Tribolium castaneum: one gene and its partner. Each later gene encodes a partner of the first gene's protein in a complex. Links are inferred from orthologs where the notes say so. Each region holds a gene or a part of one and is shown in the gene's direction. Other genes may lie near its edges.

Region 1 (11,192 bases):
TAGCTTTCAGGACGACGAACGCAAAAGTAGCAGAAATATGTTGTATTAAATCCGTGCAAAACCAAAATAAATAAAATTATCACATCCTGCCTAGGTGTTTTAATGCAAGGTCGTGACTTCGCACATCAAAAAGTCATTTTATCATCAAATTATCTGACACAATTGCCCCACAAAACGCGATAAAATCGCATAATGTGAGTAGCCATCAAGCTACAAATATAAAAGGACCAAACACAAAAACTATTCGACCGTTTGAAATGTACAAACTCGGAGCTATCATTTTTCTGGTGGGTTCAATCGGGTCCATTCCGCTCAAACCCGAGTCCCTCCACCCCGACGCAGGTCTCAACATTGTAAGTCGCCCCAAAACCCACAACTTCATCAATTTACATACTCCAGATCGAGTTAGTCCAAAAGTATGGGTACCCGATTGAATCCCATCAAGTCCAAACGGAAGACGGTTACCTTCTAACCCTCCACCGCATCCCCCGAGGCTTGAATAGCACCCTCCAAGCCACGCGACCCCCCGTTTTGCTCATGCACGGTCTCCTTAGCAGTTCAGTGGACTGGGTCAATATGGGTCCGGGAACCGCCCTAGGGCTGCTCTTGGCAGACAGTGGGTACGATGTCTGGATGGGCAACCAGAGGGGCAATACCTGGTCCAGGAAGCACGAAACGCTTGACCCCGACACGGACGCGGAAAAGTTCTTCAACTTTAGCTTTCACGAAATTGGGTATTTTGACCTACCGGCCAAGATCGACTACATTCTGGACACGACAGGCCAAGAGAAACTTTTCTACGTCGGACACTCGCAAGGTTTGGCTTATTTGCCATGAAGTTTATAAATTGTTGGAGATTTTTTCGTGCAGGTACGACAGTTTTTTTTGTGATGGCGAGCGAGAGACCTGAATACAACGAGAAAATCAGGCTGATGTCAGCGTTGGCCCCCATTGCCTACATGGGGCACTTGCCCAATCCTTTGATATCTCAAATCGCTGAACATTACGATTTAATGAATGTGAGTTTAATACGAATTGACTGGGAAAACACCATTAGTTTTAGACACTTGTGGAGATTTTCCACGTGCATGAGTTTCTTCCACACTACGACGTTATAACCGAACTGGGAGAAACTTTTTGTACTAACAGTTCTGACTACAAAGACGCTTGCTACTGGATCCTGAATATAATCGCAGGATTTGACTGGGAAGTGGACCCTGTAAATCTGTCTAATATTGCGTCCAGGTGTTAAAACTAGATTTCAGGACTTCCTTCCTGTGATAATATCAAACGCTCCTGCTGGGTCCTGCATTAAGCAACTCCTGCACTACTTCCAGGAGATAAAGTCTTTTAATTTCTCGCAGTATGATTACGGAGTGGAGGGAAATAAAGCTCGCTACGGGCAAGAAACCCCGCCTTTGTACGATACGACAAAAATTACAGCCCCTGTGATTCTACACTACGCCAGTAACGACTGGCTTGCAGCTCTCGAAGATGTGGACAGGTTAAAAAGCGAGCTACCGAACTTGCTCGGTGCCAAATTGGTGCCTTTTGACCGCTTCAACCACCTCGACTTTCTGTGGGCCAAAGATGTTGTTCAATATTTAAACAACGATGTACTTGACGAAATAAAGTCTAATTGATATGTTGTGGCTTATTGTTTGCTTATATAACAAGGAAACAGACATGAAAATAACAAATTTGCAATCAAGGTCAATAGGCCACATTTTTCCTCTATCTAATCGTCCCAAGTCTTCTGCATTATTTATTAACGCATTCACAACACCGAAGATGTTCAATAAAGATATTTTCGGTCTAGTGGTGGTTGTTATCAGTTCCATCATTCTGGTCGAGATTTTCAACACGACCAAACCCAAACATCCAGACGCTGGATTAAATATTGTAAGTCCGCTTTTCACAAAACTTGCTTTTATCGCAAAACTTTAGTTGCAACTTGTGGAAAAATACGGCTACCTTATCGAAACCCACGAAGTGGTCACCGAGGACGGCTATATTTTAACACTGCACCGAATTGGGCAAAAGAACAATGTTGCAAAACGCGATCCCGTGCTTTTTATGCACGGTTTCATGCAAAGTGCCACCGATTTCGTTAATTTGGGCCCCGGCAAAGCGCTGAGTTTGCTGCTTTCAGACCGAGGCTACGATATTTGGTTGGGGAACGCAAGGGGGTCCACTTGGTCCAGGAAACACAAACGCTTTAATCCCGACAAAGACGCCGAATTTTGGGATTTCAGGTAATCACATTTAGAAATTTCTATAACCGTGAGCTGTGTTTCTAGTTTACATGAAATCGGGGTTTACGACATTCCTGCCTTCATCGACCACATTTTGGAAGTTACGGGACGTGAATCCATACAATACGTTGGTTATTCTCAAGGTACTACAACCTTCTTCATGTTGGGATCAGAAAAACCGGAATACGTGCAAAAAGTTAAGTTAATGACGGCTTTGGCGCCCGCAATTTATTTGAAAAATCCAAAAGGCCCGCTTTTGAAATTTCTTGTATATTTTAGGCGTCTCTGGGAGGTAAATAAAGCAATTCTGGGTTTTAAAAACGTAACTATAATATTTTGTAGTTCCTACTGAAATTTTTCAACTTTCAAGAGTTCTTCCCGAGAGACGGACTAGTGGCGTATTATTTGAACCACATTTGTAACGAAAATTCAGTGTTTGTGGATTTGTGCTTACACCACATTTTCCTGCTTCATGGCTACAGCCACGAACAGACAAATAAGGTAAAATTTCCAAAATTCTAAACTCTTCTATATAATATTTTCAGACACTTCTCTCCCTCATATTCTCTAACACTCCTGCTGGAGTTTCGCCGAAGCAAATGATGCACATTGTGCAACTAATGGAGTCTGGTAATTTCCACCAATATGATTTAGGGGTCACCGAAAATTTGAAAAAATACGGACGAAAGGAACCTCCACATTACGATTTATCGAAAACCACGAATCCGGTCGCTTTATACTATTCGAGTAATGACTGGACTGTAAACACGGAGGTGAGTTTTGCGTTGTTTTACGTTTAAAATTAATATTTTTATTTTTAGAACATTGAGAGAGTGGTCAAAACCTTGCCGAATGTCGTTAAAAGTTATCATGTGCCTTTGGAAAGTTTTAATCACAACGACTTCATGCACGGTCGAAATGCCCCTGAACTTCTGTATAGAGCAATTATAGAAGAAATCTCAAAATATTAGCCAAATAATAAACACTGATTAAATAGTTAACTATTTTTCCATTTGGTTCGCTTTTTGCTAAACTCTTATTGTTATTATAGCCAATTTTACACACGTATTTATGTATTTATATTAAATGAAGGAAAATAAACAAGTTTTTATTTCAAAACATCACCGTCTTTGATAATCTTTGCTAATAAAATCTTAATATTCTATATCTGTCTCCACTATCTCCTGTTGCCAATTTTTTGTTTTGTTTGGAATTTTCCATCAGATTAGGTAAGTTTGATTCCCGTTTATTTCAACAACATTACATTCAGTTTTTATGAAAATCATGACTACGTGTGTGAAACCCATGTTCCTTGTGGAAATAACTTCACGGGGAGCAAATAAATATGTAAAAATAGACGCGTTCTTTATTTTATTAATCATAGTTTTATCTGAGGTATTGACAGCTCCTATTGTTATTAAATTCCATCTTTAAAATATTTTGTTGAATCATTTACCAACAGGTGTTATCAAGCATAAGTGCCAAAAATGACCATTATTTACAAATAAATATATCTGTAATCTCTGATGATCAGAGATATATCTTAACAGTTCAAAGTGTGCAATTGTGATCAGAAATCAGATGCATAAAAGAAAAAATAAATCGATAAAGTTCCATTGTAGATGTTATAAATTCGTTTAGTGGTCCTAATCCTCTCATCAGTGATCCGCAATGGCTATCCAAACCAAACTGGTAATCATTTTCCTCCTCTCAAGTCTCCTCTATGGACGTGAAGTGTCCGCAGACTCGGACGTGGGTTTGAACACAGTAAGTGCTTTCCTTTCAAATAAAAAATTTGACTTAACTCCTTTACGAAAGGTTGAAATGATAGAAAAGCATGGCTACGTGTGTGAAACCCACTACATAACAACCGAAGATGGTTACATCTTAACATACCACAGAATACCACATGGTAAAAACAACGATAATTCGACCAAAAGACCGGCCGTTTTGCTCATGCATGGTCTCATATCGTCTTCGGCCGATTACGTAAATATGGGTCCGAACAATAGTCTCGCCTATATTTTGGCCGACATCGGATATGATGTATGGCTTGGTAATGCTAGAGGGAACGGATGGTCGCGAAATCACACAACTCTGGATATAGTAGCAGATGCTGAGAAGTTTTTCGATTTCAGTTGGCATGAAATCGGGTATTACGACCTGCCCGCTGCTATAGATTACATCTTGGATGTAAACGGTGACGATAGTATTTATTATGTAGGACACTCTCAAGGTACAACTGCCTTCATGGTCTTGGGGTCCACTAGGCCAGAATATAACAGCAAAATCAAAATTGCCTCACTTATGGGGCCTGCCTCGTATATGGAGCATCAGTCCACTACGCTTTTAGTAGGTCTTTCAAAATATATCTTTGAGTTGGAGAAAGTAGTAAAGAAATACACAATATTTGAAATACCGCTTCTGGCACAACTACGAAAGTTTGCGTCTGATTTTTGCTCAAATCCCGACAGTCTCAACATCTGCGAAGATGTTATCGGTCTCATAGGTGGACAAGATAAACCGCAATTTGACTTCGTATGTTATAAGCAGTGGTTATTTAATTTTTCCAATTTTATTTTCTAGGAAAAATTCCCTGTAATTCTTACAAATGCACCCTCAAACGCAGCCATGAAACAGCTTTATCACTATGGCCAACTTATCAAAAATGGTAAAAGGCCCTTTTGGATTTTTAATTGAATTCTAATCCAAATTATTTAGGTGGATTTTCGCAGTTTGATTTTGGCAGTAAAGAAAAAAACAAGGAAATTTATGGAACCGATACACCCCCGGCCTATGATTTGTCGAAAATTTCAGCACCTGTGGCTGTTTATTATGGAAAAAATGACCAGCTGGTGAACTACTTGGTAATTCTCGAATTCATTATTGACTACACTTTAAGTTGGAAATATTTCAGGATGCGCAAACTGTAGTAAAGAATCTTGGAAATGTAGCTAATGATTATTTCATACCGTACGACCTATTCGATCACTTGGACTTCATTTTTGCAAAGGATGTTGTAAATATGCTCTATGTAGAGCTAATTAAAGTTATGCAAAAGTACTGAATAAATTTTTACATAGGATCGCTTATGTGTTTTTTTCTTCCTCACATGAATACACTTAAAATTTAGTGAGCAAAAACGGTGAATACATAAAAATTACCGATCTATTTCAACCAGTAATATCTAATCCAAAGCAAACCAAAAAATTAAAATTGTTCGAAATAATTTTTAAAAAAAAATAACAATACGGATGTGTTGTGTAGACAACCAGTTATACAATCAAAAATTAGTTTTTTGTGGCAAATAAAACATAATATTCATATCAACTTGAACATTTTCCACACAGTTCATCAAAAACTGTGTAACTGACTCATGTGCCTTTTAATCTTTTTATTTACCGTTTCGTGAATTCTTGGACGAGTTTGAGGTTATGTTTTCCCTGATGAAAAACGTGAGCTCAAAAATTCGGCAAAAAGTGTTAGTGTTGGTTCTAATCCTCTAATAATTGTTGCAAAACGACTACGGGACCTCACAGTTACAGTATTTCTCATCAAGACTGAAAAATTTCACATAATAGTGTCATTTTTACTTTTGTCATTTATCATTCAGCTCAGCAATGCTTTTCAATTAAATTCTCCCAACTTCCACCTCGACGCATTTAAGAAATGTTCCGGATTAACCATCTCTTGCAACTAAAGAACGTAACAATCAAAATCCTCCAGAGATCCCCAGTTGAGGCCTCCCGATGTCTAGGTGAGCTGAGCCACCTTCAGGTGGGTCCAGACTTGAATTCCGATATTTCCAGCCCTTCAGCGGGTCCAGTTTACCCACCCGACACGGTTCTATTCAAAAAGTAGCGACGATGGGAACAAAAAGGTACAAGATGGTAAAAACAAAGCTTGTGAAGAGAAAAAAACCCAAAAACGCCCTAAACTGGTCTTGAAAGAGTGTAAACCTGTTGATATCCATCCTTGCACCCCGCCCCCACCTCCTCCACCATCGGTACCTCCTTAATATTTTGTTAGACACACTTAATGAAAAATTTGCAGAAACTGCCCCACATTAATCCAGAGGATTGTCCAGTCAAACCCACTCTGGAAAGCGAATGTCCACAAGCTAAACAGGAGCCCCCGCCAGAGTGCCCGCATGACGAGGGAAGCAAGTGGGATAATTACAAAAATGCCGCCCTTGTGGGGCTTCTAATAGCAGCAGCGACGCTAGGAGCTGTATGTAGAATTTTTCTATTAAACAAAAACCTAAAACGGTTTGCGTGGGCGTCATCAAGTCAAAAGATTATCCAAAACTATGCAAATTGAAACAGTCAATGGAAGTCTAGAACGTTAATTTACAGATTATACTTCAGCTGTATCGTTTTTTATTTTTTTTTTTCGTTCTTTTTGGTTTTCTGTTTTTTTTATAATTCCTTATCACAGCACTGTCCAACTTTTCTTACGAATCATAATTTTTTCTTTCGCGAAATTTTTTGAAGTAAGCCAGAATCCGCTAAAATTGGATAAGAAGGTAAGTACCTCATATGCACTAAATAAACAAAAAATTTACAACTATGGGTGTGTAAATAATTTGGCTAGTTTTGACAACATCTCTTGAAAAAATGGTTTTGCGGCGCAAAATAATCGTAAGAGTAAGAGAAGAGTAAATCTTCTCTACAGTAAAGCCAATTTTTTATTAAAAACATCACTTACAAGTTATGAATTACGTAAAATCAGGGTAAAGAAAAAAGTATTAGTATTAACATTAGTTTAGGCCCTAAAGGCTCCCAAACCGTAGTCCGACCCTGTGCATCTTTTCCTTTTGTCGTCCTCAATTTACTCAGATAAATAAAACTCGGCTTTATTGCATTTTCAGGGTTAGCATAATTGTATGTTGTATTCATTTGAAACAGAACTAAACTGACTTAACATAAGAAAAATAACTAACCTTAACCTCCATCGTGTCGTTTTCAAAAGCTGCGTAATCCGTTTGGCTGCGAGCTGCACATTTTCGATAAAAAATCAGTTATTTGTGCATTAAACACGCGAAAAAACAACCCGTAAAAATTATAAAACAAGTTTTTCACCCACTACACTAACGTATGATGTCAAGTCAAAGACATTTCATTGGTTAATTTTTCAAGGACTCGACTGTCAATAAGTAAAACACCCTATGTTTTGTGCATTTTTGGATATATGTGGTTGTTAATCATAATGTTTTTTTACTAGTAGTTTTTGCTAAGTTTTTGAAATAATTGAATCTCATAGGCAAAAACATTATTTTCAGAAATATCAAACAAAAACTACAACATAAAATACAAGGAATGTTTGTTTACCTACTCTTGTTTAAGTAAGTTTAATAAGTAATCCAAATTTCTGGACGTAAAAAAGAACTTCTAAACATAAAATACATCTTCCTTGTTCTACATTTTAAAAATCTTCGTACAATATTTTATTAATAATGATTTATTTGTTAATTTATTAATAAATGTGTATTAAAAAGACTTGTAATGTTGTTATTTGAAAAATGACGCACACGCAAAGCGTCCCGAAATGGCCTATAATTTTATTTTCACACTGAACCTTTAGCTGTATTACGTTGGATACTTTGAAGATAAAAGCAAACCGAAAAAAATAGTGGCGGCAAAGAAAAAGAAAACTAAGAGAGCACCTGTTAAAGACCCTCTACATTCAAAAGAGATCCCAAATCAAGTTCCTTATTTACTGATCGGGGGCGGAACTGCGTCATTTGCAGCCTTCCGTGCAATCAAATCAGCTGATCCAACCGCAAAAGTAATTTTTTTAACCACCCAAACACTATACTAACAATCGATCAGGTTTTAGTTGTGACAAATGAATCGTTTCACCCTTACATGCGTCCCCCGTTATCGAAAGAAATGTGGTTCAATGAGGACGAAGAATCAGTCAAGAAGCTCATTTTTAAACAGTGGAACGGATCGGAACGAAAGTAATTTTTCTCACAGCCAACAACAAAACAACAATAACGATTTTTCCAGCCTTTACTACGAGCCTGAAGACTTTTATATCAAGTGTCAAGACTTGCTAAAGAACGAAAATGGGGGCGTAGCCGTAGCTCGAGGCTACAAAGTAACCCGTCTTGACGTCGTCAACCGAATTGCTTATCTCGAAGACGGCTACGCCATTGAATACAACAAGTGCCTCATCGCCACAGGTGCTACCCCAAAAATGCTCAACGTGTTCGAGGCAGCTTGTGCCGACCCCCAAATCGACGAAAAAGTCAAAGTGTTCCGCAACATCTACGACTTTGAGGAGGTCTACGATGCTTTCGAGGAGTCAAAATCCATCGCAATAATTGGTGGTGGGTTCCTTGGCAGCGAACTAGCTTGCGCTTTAGCTCGCAAAGGTAAGAGAAAAAAGAAAACGGTGTACCAAGTTTTCCGCGAGCATGGCAACATGGGGAAAATCCTCCCCGAATACCTCAGTTCTTGGACCACTAATAAAGTCAAAGCTGAGGGTGTTAACGTCGTGAACAACAACGAAGTCATCGGAGTGAAGCACGAGGACGGCAAGCTCGTCCTAATTTTAAGCGATGGCAAAATGATAAGAGTTGATAATGTAATTCTGGCCGTTGGTGTGGAACCGAACACCGAGCTGGCGCAGAAATCCGGTTTGGAAGTTGATCCGGAGCTCGGAGGGTTTTTGGTTAATACGGAGCTGATGGCTCGGTCTAATTTGTACATTGCGGGCGATTGCGCGTGTTTTTACGATGTCAAGTTGGGCCGTCGACGCGTGGAGCACCATGACCATGCGGTGGTCACTGGCCGCCTAGCTGGGGAGAATATGACCGGTGGGATTAAGCCCTACCTCCACCAAAGCATGTTTTGGTCGGATTTGGGGCCGGATGTTGGGTATGAAGCGATAGGAATTGTCGATTCGTCGCTTCCCACTGTTGGGGTTTTTGCCAAAGCTTCGGATAAAGATACGCCCAAGGCTGTAGTTACGGAGACCGGGGAAGGGATCAGGTCGAAGATGGAAGCACAAGAGCAGAAGACTGGGGCCGAGACTGAGCACAAGGAGGAGAAGAAGGACAAGAAGGAGGATTACGGCAAAGGGGTTATTTTTTATCTGAGGGATGATGTGGTTGTAGGAATTGTACTGTGGAATGTGTTTAATCGAATGTCGATTGCCAGACAGGTTCTCAAGGATGAGAGGAAATATGACGATCTGAATGAAGTAGCGAAGCTGTTTAACATTCACGAAGACTAACATTCCGGCATTCGGCGATTAATTTTAATTTGATAAGAAGTTTAGATCGATTTGAGTTTGTTCAAATGTATATAGAAAGGATAAAAATACACATTTTTGTCAAAACTTCTGCTTTATTATAATTTATGCGTGTTGCGGTAACATTTCGTAAGTTTCTCGATTAGGGGCATGTGGTCGCTTAAACGAAACTCGCTCATGTCGCACATCTGAAAATTAATATTGGGTTAAAAAAACAATTATTTCGGCAAATACCTCAAGTATTTCTTGGAGCTCAGGTGAATGTGTGATTGTACAAATCCGGTCGTCCAAATGTCGGAAAATAGCAACAAAATAATACATAAGACACTCAATAGGATACAAAACTGAGAATGCTAAGAAATTACAGATTTCTTCAAAACGAAGGAAATTAAAGAAGCACTGGTTGAGCCATGACTGGAGCAGGATTTCAGGACAAATACCTAAAACCTGAACTTTCATTAGTGATTTCTAATGAATTTTACCTTTGGAGGTGACTTAAATTAAATTTTATTTAATACTTTCAGTAACGTTCGTTCAATATAGCCCTATAGCGCATAAGTAACAATTCGAATAAAACAGACAAAAACAGTTATCACATATTATCTAAGTGACTAATTGCTGCAAAGGGCAAACAAAAGGAATTACATAAAGTATTAATAGGTAATGACTAGTTAATTAACAGAAAATCACATATTCTCCGCAAAATCTGATTTATATTTCTGAAAACAGTAATATTAATTTGGAATATAATATCTTCGTAATAAGATGAAAAATAAGGTGTTGTAGAGAATAAATTTTTTTTGAAAAAATTTTATTAACGCTACTCCGCCACTATTGTTTTTTTTGGATACAGAGTGATTTTGAATCTCATTTTAAATTCCAATAATTGTACCTTCAAGGCTTGGTAGCCAGAGCAGTTCTCTTCCAAAACAACTGCAAAATGTTGGTGGAAGCTCTCTTGTAACAAATAATCAAACTCTTTGCCAAAAGTGGCCCAAATAAGCGACGTCACTTGCGTGTTTGTAAAATTAATCAAAATGGATTTGCACTTATGTAAATCTCCCGAACACGTCAGAAAAATGAATCCGACAAACCAATCGAAATTGGTGAAATTTTCCGGTTGGTAACCAATAAAAGCCCGTGATTGTTTTATCAGAAAAATAAGATTTTCGGAGTATTCATTAGGTGGTTTAAGTAAGCCAGTTTTGAGTCCATAACTGGAAAAATTTGTTGTGAAAATAATCACAACGGAGGTAAATGTTACTCGATTATTAAGGAAACGCCAGAAAAGTCTTCGGGGTGCAACTGGTAGTAGACGGAATCTGAAGGGGGCCATTGTAGCTCGATTTTTCTGTAAACGTAAGTTTTGGGAATTTTTTCCAATAAAATTTCCAAGATAGAAGGCTGGAAAATGAGTTTATTAGCTTTCGTGTTGTGTGTGTTTATTAATTACATCAAAAAGATGCAATGAGTTTTTGAAGGCTTTTCTCGCCTGCGACAACCAGCTGAAATTTCCAGTTGTGTCCTCATCCAAAAACACCCGAAATTCATTTTCCCCACTTTTTCCTTGCTCTAGAATTTCGTAAACGGGAGGTGTATCTCCAGACTTATTGACAAACCCTACGTGTGACAACGAAACTAAAATATTATCTCTTAAACAGCTTTGTGCATCGATAA
Region 2 (10,197 bases), on another chromosome or scaffold:
ACAAAATTTCCAGAAAGTCTCACTGTAAAGGTTGTTGGGGGCACATTCTTACGCCGCCACTGATTAACTCCAATTTATTTTTGGTGTCACAAGCACCGTGTGTTCTTGACTTCAAATCCTAAATGTGCTTAATTATTTATGATGATGTGCGTCTACAAGGTGACACATTATGATATACACCTGAATGTGCTAACGGTTTTAACAATTTTGACGCACTGTGTCGTAATTTTAGATCGGAATACTGCAACTGTATCAATGAAATTTTATCTAAATTGTTACAATCAAACACTCGATGACAATAATGAGTTGGTCTGGCAGCAGTTGCAGCTCATTGCGCTGCGGAGGTGTGTTGAAACGTCCTAATGACGTCGAAATTGAATAAAAAGTGTTCGTCGAGAGCCAGGGGCCTGTGTCGCCAGGAGGCAGCATGCAGAACACGTATAACTGACATCATAGCCTGGCTTAGTAATTACTGTTTTTAAGTCCAATTCGGAATGGTAATCAACTAGACGGGCCCCGTTCTCACGCACCACACTCTCCTCACTCAGGTCTTTCCTTCCTATAGAAACCCTTATCAACATCCGGCGGAGTTCTGAATGTCGCTTATCTTCTCTCCACTCGATTCAGCTTCCAGCCCACTCTTGCCTTCACGGGGAGACTCAGACGCACCGAGCGAACGAACATATTCCACATGTAGTCGCTCGGGAATGAAATAAGAAGAGAGGGACCGGTGCCCGGGGTGACGGCACGGCGATTTCGTTTAAATCAGAAAACAAGAGTCTAATTTCTGCGTGCTTTTCTTTTAATAATACAATAGGGGACTTGCACTAGATGCAATCTAATACCCAGAACTAACAATGTAGATTTTTATCGCGTATCCAGTGGGTATATGGTTTCGGGTTGGGATGCTATTATCCTCTTACGTACTTATTATACACCATCATATCGATCCCAAAGGGCGGATACCGCCGCTAATTTATTCTTACCTTAAACTAAATTAAAAGCGATTAAAGCAATTAGTCTTGGGAGGATTTTTTTTTCAATTTTCAGCAGTTTTTATAGAGTATCTGGGCAACTGGAACAAGCATTCCATTTGCAGTAAAAAGTAGGTGAAGAATGGATGATGGTGAATACTTGTTATGCAAATTACAAGGCCATTTAAACAGGAAAATTGCAGGACTAAAGCAATAAATATTTTTTCACGGAAAACATAGGGAAATTTTAATTTATTCGGCGCCGTTACCTGCACTGACAACTTGCAGCCGGCAAATCCCTCAATTTATAATAGTTTTTACGGCTTTCTGAGATTGTTGAATTTTTAACGGCTCATTAATTCAGCGAATTTGCCGAATGCAAATTTAATTTCTATCGAAAATGATCAAGTTATCACCGTTATCAAATATTAAATATTTATCCGGTTAGGCGTGGAAACACGTTTTTCAGCTAAATGTGCTTCAAAATAGCTGCCACTTGCAGAATGTTTAGTACGGGAGAGTGACATTCCGACTGGATTAAGTTTAATGAATAAATCACCTACATGGACCTACTATTCGCATTATCACTGATTAGATGTAAAATCAAATTACAAATACAGACGAAATTAAATTCCCAGAAAGATACATCCATAATTTTCTTGATTTATTCATTGTTTAATGGAGAAACCAAAAAAGAATATTACTTTATTCTTTATTAATTTCGTATACATAACTTGACTTCTAACAATTCCTTCTTTAAAAAAAGTCGTTATTTTTAAATTGACTTATTACGACCGAAATTTACGACTTTCTTACTAGCTTCTTTAATTAATTTGATTTTGGACGACTCCTGGTCTCCTGGCAAACAAACTTGAAAGCTGTAATCGACATATTTTGCCTGAAAACGGCAATTTTCGTACTAATTTCGCCTTTTTTGTCCGATTTTTTTTCAGGAAAAAAAGCTCATCAAGAGAGCTTTCAGCTGTTTAACTGAAAATATTATTTTGTTTGACAATAGTGGTTCGTTTTTAGGAGAATCAATTGTAAAATTTCTTGATTTTTGCAGAAAACAAAGCTTATCAAAAAATAAAAAAACAACTTGTATCAAAAACGTCTTCACCAACAATCACTTCCTAAGGATATTTAATGAATTGTTTTTTGTCTAAAATATTTTTACACTTGCACGTTTTTCACTTATAATATATTATGATGGTCCTTCGAACATTTACCAAAAAATCACGTGTACATAAAAAAATATATATATTATATCAAAAATTTAGCCATAAGGTTCCAATGGATATATCACAGCGTATTGGCTTTTATTGCATATTGCTAACTAAAGTTTCAACAGCTCCATAGCGGGAATATGGTTGTAATGAGGCTGTAATCAACATCAAGGTTAATAGAGCTTTCAGCTGAAATCAAGCACAGACAGCAGTATTGTTTACTGATTCCAAAATTTGGCTATAAATCTGCACAGAGATATCGCACCGTTTTGGCTTTCATGACTGATTAATAGCAAAAATTTTCACAGTTACATTGCCATAATATTGTTAAAATAAGGCTTAGGAAAGCTAAACAATGTCTCAGAAACATTTGTTTGTAGCATTTTTTTGCTGTAATCGATGTTTTCTAGCTTTATTAAATAGACCATCAGGCTTTTGCTGCTAGATGGCATACTCCTTTGAAGGTGTTAACCAGCTTAAAAATTAAAAATAATGCTGGGGTTGTAATTTGGCTGCGAGATGAGTTGAAATCGTGATTTACAGCTGACTAAAAAGCAATAACGTAATTCACAGTAAAAAAACATTCGATTCGGCTATGATGACGTTTTCTTGACTAAATTTTAGTTTCAATTGCTGTAGAAACGTTAAAATAAAGAACAATTTGTACAATTTTATTTACTGTTAAATAAATTGGAAAAAATACGTGTTGTTCATCTTATCATTTCGTTTGAACTTTCCGAGCTCGAGGGCCAGCGCTAGCTCTCGCCGGATTTCTACAATTTTCCCAACATGTGTAATAAACATAAACATAGCAATAATTAGCTGAAGAAAGCCGAAAACATCTCCAAGGAGCGCCATTTGTGCACAGATGTGCGTGAAATGCACGACACATTAATTTAGTATAACCACTCTTCCACCGCCTGTCAGATTATAGGCCTTTCGCATTAGGGGAGGACTTCGGAATCGTAAAACCTTCAAGTCCCAAACGAACAAACGAAACAATGTCAAAAAATTTCTTTGAACCTCTGTTGGATGTATCTCTACTTGGAAGTGCTTTCTTCTCCGTTCATCTGACCATTAACGAAATTGCGCTAATTCTAAACAGGAGTTATGACTTTCGTTTAATCCGCTGTCGGCTGGACTTTCAAGTTTATGTTTTTATAAGTGCTTTTAGGTTCTTGACGAATTCGGGCGTTGTAAAGGGAGGTAATGTTAACGGCCATCGGAGTTAGTTTATATGCCCTTAAATTGACTATAAAATTAAACGACTGTATTTATGCCGCACCACCCTATCCGACAGTGCAGGTAGTCGCAGGCTATCGTTGTGGTGATTGGAATTTTATTCTAATTCCGCTGATTAAGCATTCTGGGCCATAAATAAAGTGCAGTGCGAGCTGCAGCTCCTCTTTGATATGTTGCGTACAATAGGAGCCATGAATAGGGTAAATGTAGATGGGAGATAATTTTAACGATAACTTTGGAAAAATCGATGCGTGATTTAAATCGGCAACGACAGCCCGTGTTTAGAAGGAGACAGAAATCACTTCTCAATCAGATAAAGCGAAACAGACACGTAATAATGACCTGCCTTGTTCCGAACTCCTTAATTACCATTTCTTTTATCTCGCATCTCATAATAGAGTTTAAAATTCTTTTAATATTTCCTTCGGCCAGCGAGTTGTAGATTTTAATTACATGACGGATCGTAAATTTTTTCAATCTCAATCCGACTCAATTGGAAATGCGAATTTATTCTAACGAATGATAAAATCTTTGTCGTCGGCGCCCGTAATTTATATTTGTTATAATTGGGTTATTTCGCTGAATAATACCGAGGGTTCTTAAAATATAAACTAGACGCAATTTACCTGATGCCTGCAATAAACGAAGACAATGGCTAGGTAGATAACAAAGACTTCCAAAGTAGATCTGGCCTTTGTTAAAGCCTCTGCCGTAATTAATGAGTTTTCACCATCAACAATTAAATTCATTTGGGTATAAAGATTCATCATATTTTAAGTGCTCTAAGCCGTCACACAATGAACAATAATGTATGTTTTTGTAATCATTTGTTTTTAGTGGGACACTTGAAAATATAAATAATGCTTATTGTTCCAAGATTTAAAAATGGGCAACGTAATAAACCCAAATGCGTTTACAAACGTACTTTTGTGTGAAACTGCACTAATTCACGCATGAGCGACACAAATGTCGAAAGCTGTTATTATCTGAAAGACACACCGAATTATTTTGAGCTCGTGTTGCAAAATCAAACTTTTAATTTGCCCAACCGTTTTAAACGTGTAGTTATTGTGTCAGATATTCGTCTCAGTATTAATCAATAGTACAATAAATGCCGAAGTTATTATATTTGAGTCGTAAAAAATCCATTATTTCAGACAATGTTTTGCTGTAACTGTAAGGAACGCTAATGGTTATAAAAGTTCCAGTTTGGAAAGTTATTACGAAGGACGTCTGCAGATCCTTTTACAATTAGAGAATTAGATACACTAGTTGGAAATACTATCAGAAAGTTTTTCGTCGAAACGAAACTGCACTGTGGGTGGTCAAGGAGAGGTCTTTAAAGTTTACGAATGATTTGAAATTACATTATATTGTTATTACTGAGTACCTGTGTAATTAAAATAAATTAATGATTCTCCAGACTTTAAATACGTAAATGGACTGAAATTAGCTTCTAATTTTGTTGTTATCAAACAGAATTAGCATCTAATGAAACATAATGTCACAAAACAATTTATTTTTCTATTTATAAACTATGAATCACTGACCAACAAATTTCTACTTTTTTTTCTTTCAAACAATGTTATTTCTGTCAATTTGTAAATAGTTTTAATTTTTATTAAAATTTACGCTTTAGTACTTAAGAAAATTACCAAAGAAAACTTGTATTAAGAACATCAGTAGAAAGATAAAATATCACAGTATCCACAAGGGTAGATATTTTTTTTTAATTTATTTAACAATCTTTTTATCGTTTTGTATAATAAATATCTGTTAGTACTACAACCAAAAACAAAACTGGACATGGTTTAGGTTGCTTTATTTTTCTTAAAAACGATAATTTTGTGTTAGTTTTCACAACTCTGTTAAAAAACGACTCAGATCAACTGAGGAGAATTCTTAAGTTTTCCATAAGTTTCCTGGAAGAAAATTTTAATTTTTATGCAGAATTAGCTGCATAGCTAATAAACAATATTTTTGCTTTTTAAAATACTAATTACTTTATCAAATTATAAGTATAATTTATTAGTTTTTGAATGCTTGTAAAAAATAGAGAATTGAAATACGTCCTGCCATCTATGAACCAGCGGATGCACATATTGACTACAGTTTGGAGGCAAACCTATAGCTAGTAAAACAAGTGGGATAAAGAAATCTGTCAAGCCAGTCAAGTGATCCGAATCCAATGTCCCCAACCTTTAGATAACATCGAAAAACATTTTCTTATTTATTTGCGAAATAAATTGTAAGTTATTTTGCACTAATTGATCAACAGTTGTAACCATTGAGGCATTTTACTGTATCCCATAATTTTTATGTATTGTTCACCAAATTAGCTAGTCTCTTTACGTTTCCACGGGTGGCCTTCCTGCTGATTCTAGCTTTTTGTAGGTTAAATTCGCTGGAAAATTATTTCCCGGTTTAAAACAGTAATTTTCCTCAATGGCAAGTAGTTATGTAAATTAGAATGAGCAAATACTATTATTTAGACGTTTCCTTGTTAGTATATTTAATTTAGTTCACTTTCAACCACGTTTGTCCCATTTATCGCACTAATAATTGTCTTGTTCCAGGAGATTGCACGATAATACCGCCTATGAGGTAATAACAGACGCGTACTTTAAAAAACACATCGTTGATGCAGTGTCTGCGTTATTTGGAGAATCTGCAGCTTGTGTAGACATAGACGTCCTAAGATACAATCTAGCGATCAAACGCGGTATTTTAAGAGTACCCTCCGAATACTACGTGAAAATCCGCAGTAGTCTAACCCTGTGTGGTAGCTACAACAACATCAGTTGTTCCTACAAGATTCATAAGACCAGCCCCATTTTGCTGAATCTCCAGGGTGACAGTCGAGAATACGAGCACTGAAATGTCTTTCTGCCAAAGATTAGGGCCCCAGGGCAAGGATATAGTGATTTTTGCCACCCCAGAGGACCACAAGGTCCCAAGCACTGTGACTCTGCCAGAGCCTGACCCCCAGCCAGGGCTGATCCTCCCAAACGGGGACATCAACTGGAACTGCCCCTGTCTAGGGGGCATGGCAACGGGGCCCTGTGGGGTGGAGTTTAGGAACGCATTTAGTTGTTTTCACTATTCCGAGGCGGAACCTAAAGGTGGATTAGTCGGAAAAAAGTTTGCAAGTCGGCTGAATTTAATTATTTTTTAGGTAGCGATTGCTATGAATTATTTAAGACCATGCAAAATTGTATGCAAAAATATCCAACTTTGTACAACAAAGACTTAGCCGACGATGATGACTTTAGCTCGATGGATTCAGGCGACAAAAGCGCAGCGCCTAGTTCTGAAGGCGCTCCAAAGTCGGACAAAAAATCATAAGAACTTAAAGGCTAATCTAGTTTTTGTTATAGTTTAAGAAGACAATCTTTCCTAATTTGTCTAGTTTTTTCTAATTGTTACATGAATGTTACTACACAATTGTAACGTTTGAAAGTTTTTTTTTAATAAATTTGTTTTGCATTTGTTTTGTTTTGCGAATACCATGAACTGCAATTTAAGCTCTGGTCAGTGAAATTAAGTTGGCAACCCTCACCGTAGCGTTTGAATTTGATACTTTAAAGCCACAGTGTAAATTAAGTACAGAAAATATTACTTGGTTGATATAAAATGGTAAATAAACCATTGGTTATTAGACTTGATTGTTTCTGTCATTAAAAATACAGAATAACATAAAAATTTCAGGGAATTAAGTTAATTTAAAAATAGCATTGGAAAAGCAAAAAACATAATGAATAAATATTATGTTGTTATAACTGTTATATCTACGTAATCATTAGATTTTTTTCTACTTGATACCAAGTGGTGTGGAACTAATAAGTATGCGTTGAATAAAACTAAAATAATTAAAAATAAATAAAAGGTAGAGATCAGATCTACTTTAATGTCTTAAAAATATTAAAATTAGCACGAATAAAAAAAAGTAGTTGCTTTCAATCACTCAAGCTGTACAAGTGATTCTAGCATAGAATGTGCATTTTTTTAACTATATTTGTACTAATCATGTAGCAATTAATGCATTGAAGAGGTAAAGAAAGCTTAGTTAATTTTACTAATTTAGTTCGCTTTTGGATAAAATACTTCGTTTATGAACTGCATAACTCATTTTTTCTGCAAGTTTTTTTAAAACGCTTTAATAAATTACATAAATAAATTTCGACAAAAACGGGCCAGAAGCCAAAAGGTGTGGTGATCTCTACATCTTCATCTCTAAAGACTTGCGTAGTTTTTTGTAAAAGTTTGCTTAAACAAACAAAAAAACAAGTTAATTTATTTTTTTTATTTGAAACTTAATCATAGCTCGCAAAATTTCGTTAAAAACAAACTAAGAAAGTACCAAACTACATATTGAAAAAAAATTCAAAAACAGATAAAAAATCAAAAAAAAAGCACAAGGTGGTGGATACAGATGAATATAATGATTTTATGTAAATAAACCACAATCAAACAATAAAATATCAAGAATTTGTAACAGACAGTGCCACTGAAAGAATCTGAATAATTTGCATATTTGTAAAATTTATGTGTTCTGGACTACCTACATTTTTTATAATGAAGCAGAGACCATGAACTGTACAGATTATGCTGGAGATTATGAAGTAGCTGGTTTATGTGGCTCTATTAAACGAAAAACTTAAAAAATAGCATAATTTGTTAAAATGAGAGTATCATCTGTAATATAATTTGAACATTTGAAGAAAGAATTATCAGCGACGATTTTGGTGCTACATTAACATAGTTATTTAAATAAATGGGACGATAAGCAGTGCAGCTAACTCAGGATGGTTGCACCCCACCCACACGAAAGCTATAAGTACGAGAAATGTGTAAATTAACATTTAATACGAGCTTCCTCGTTCAAGCTCCAAGGTTGTATGTCAAATGCGAAAGGAAAATTCAAAGCTCCCGCTGTCTATTAGTTGCCAGTTGCGCCAACAGCTGTCGGGAAATGCAGTTCATGTTGTGGAACGAACGTCACAAACAGAAAGTTAATGTTCTCTACAGAAATTGTTATTAGTGTTGTTTTGAGTGTGTTTTGAATAAAGATTTGAGACGTTAGTGTCCTTCCTTAGCAGTGACTAAGAAGAACACGCGTATTATGGAGAGTAAAGGGAAAACAGCACCGAAAGATAAACGCAGGTTAGTGAAAATACAATAGACCAACCTCTTCCTGGAGTTTTCGGGGGTAATGAGCCAATTACTCTTCAATTAAATCGTTGTTTATCAAAGTTTAGAGCTGCTAGAGCCGATGGCATCGGCCTAGTGCCGTTGTCAGAGGCACATTTCGCCTGAAAATTTTCTCACTGCAAGAACCCATGCAACCTACTTTCCCCCAAGTCTCCACAAAATTTATTATTAGTATCATTCCGGAGTCCTGGTACCTGTGGACCTGTCCCAAGAATAAGTCGGGTTTTAGCACTAATTAGGCTCCATCTCGACGCTGAAAACACATTGGGTAATCCAGTGGATTGGGCAATTTCAAGTTCTTAGAACAAACTGGTTCCCTTCAGCGAATTAATTATGAATTATGGGGTCCTGAACATTTCATATTGTCATGCCATACTGAGTAAATGCAGTTTCATCGTAATCGGATGATAACATATCAAATTTTGGTGACTTCCCTGGTACATTTCCATTGCCTGCGGAAATTGGGCTCTAGCACCTCAGACAATTATTTTTATTAACTCCAGCTTTCATAACGTAAAGAATTGTTCTTTTGTTTGACCATAAAAATTGAATTGCACCAATTTTATGCTCAATGTAATCAGAAATAGGTAGATAAGAAATGATGCGTCATTGAAATACTTTTCAATTTTTGAATTCGTTGCAATTTGTTTTTTTTAATATTGGGGTCATTGCCACTTTTTAATTTGGCGTTAGTTACAGTTGTGCTCTATTAGTTTCTAAGAATTTTGTTATCAACAATGAATGACATTAAATGTTAAATTCCTAAATTCCTAATTAATATCTTTGAGGATCATTTAAATTTGCACAATGTTAAGCTAGAAAAAACGGTCTAAAAAATTAGTTCGTTTTGAATAATGATAATATTCGCCAAAACTTACTTTGCATAGTTTGCACTTGGCCAAAAAGAAGTTTAAAATATTTGCATGTGTTCTAAAGTTAGTGAAGGATATTTTGAATTCAATACAGGATTTTCGTAAACATGCTCATATTGTTTATGAAAGAAAAATGGATTAAAATTTTAGGTCCGACTGACTGAGAAAATCAAAATGATTTGTATGTTTTTTGCCAGAAAAAATCAAAACGGAAGTATGACAATTACCAAATTACAAGTGTTTGTTTCTTGCTTTATAGCTAGTTTTTTCTTACATCCATTTTCTCAATTGGTTTTGTAACCAAAAATGTTTGTCCAAGTTTAGAAATAGGAAGGATAAAACGTTTAATTTGTAAACTGTTGTGGGCTTTAGTGATACTCGTTAAGATTTATTTTCATTTAAATTGATGTGGAAAGTCGTCTCTAATACTCGTAAATCAAGATTAGAAAAGGTATCTTATTCATTCACCCCTGACAAAGAGACGCTATCATTCTCACAACCTTGAGTTGCTCAAAGACATTTTGGTGGTCACATGAACTTAAAATTCATTTTTACAGTAAATTAAAAAAATTGAAAATGGTTTATCTTGCACTTACTCGTTGGACTGTAAATTGTCTTTTGAGATTACATTCAGGTAATAACTTTTATTTGCTTTGTCAACAAAACCGTAAA

The links.
Region 2: the proteins of AIF (region 1) and mitochondrial intermembrane space import and assembly protein 40 are in contact, whole or in part, in a cryo-EM structure (PDB 9GQZ), measured with the Homo sapiens proteins. The link is inferred for Tribolium castaneum from reciprocal best matches to the Homo sapiens genes AIFM1 and CHCHD4. Residues at the interface, in NP_004199.1 of Homo sapiens: Pro345, Tyr347, Ser500, Ser501, Leu502, Pro503, Thr504, Val505, Gly506, Val507, Phe508, Ala509, Lys510, Glu558, Asp559, Tyr560, Asn602, Ala605, Lys606, Phe608, Asn609, Ile610, His611; in NP_001091972.1 of Homo sapiens: Arg5, Glu7, Lys9, Asp10, Arg11, Ile12, Ile13, Phe14, Val15, Thr16, Lys17, His20, Thr22, Pro23.

Annotation. Positions count from the first base shown.
Region 1 is NC_087402.1:8,004,462-8,015,653, reverse strand, and holds AIF (apoptosis-inducing factor 1, mitochondrial), read left to right. Parts: upstream 1-5,542; 5' UTR 5,543-5,924; coding exon 5,925-6,012; intron 6,013-6,064; coding exon 6,065-6,261; intron 6,262-6,308; coding exon 6,309-6,485; intron 6,486-7,838; coding exon 7,839-8,042; intron 8,043-8,086; coding exon 8,087-8,217; intron 8,218-8,266; coding exon 8,267-9,497; 3' UTR 9,498-9,602; downstream 9,603-11,192. Other genes in the region: gastric triacylglycerol lipase-like, read left to right, coding at 1-49; lipase 3, read left to right, coding at 258-353, 400-817, 871-1,019, 1,064-1,219, 1,266-1,643; lipase 3, read left to right, coding at 1,792-1,902, 1,948-2,255, 2,301-2,547, 2,598-2,756, 2,801-3,028, 3,077-3,226; lipase 1, read left to right, coding at 3,927-4,022, 4,074-4,793, 4,842-4,926, 4,977-5,122, 5,173-5,322; uncharacterized protein LOC103312777, read right to left, coding at 9,614-9,703, 9,750-9,962, 10,408-10,732, 10,780-10,919, 10,969-11,192. UniProt on the Homo sapiens protein: Functions both as NADH oxidoreductase and as regulator of apoptosis.
Region 2 is NC_087396.1:19,225,921-19,236,117, reverse strand, and holds mitochondrial intermembrane space import and assembly protein 40, read left to right. Parts: upstream 1-5,590; 5' UTR 5,591-5,690; intron 5,691-5,758; exon of another isoform or gene 5,759-5,890; intron 5,891-6,018; 5' UTR 6,019-6,320; coding exon 6,321-6,564; intron 6,565-6,617; coding exon 6,618-6,787; 3' UTR 6,788-6,930; downstream 6,931-10,197.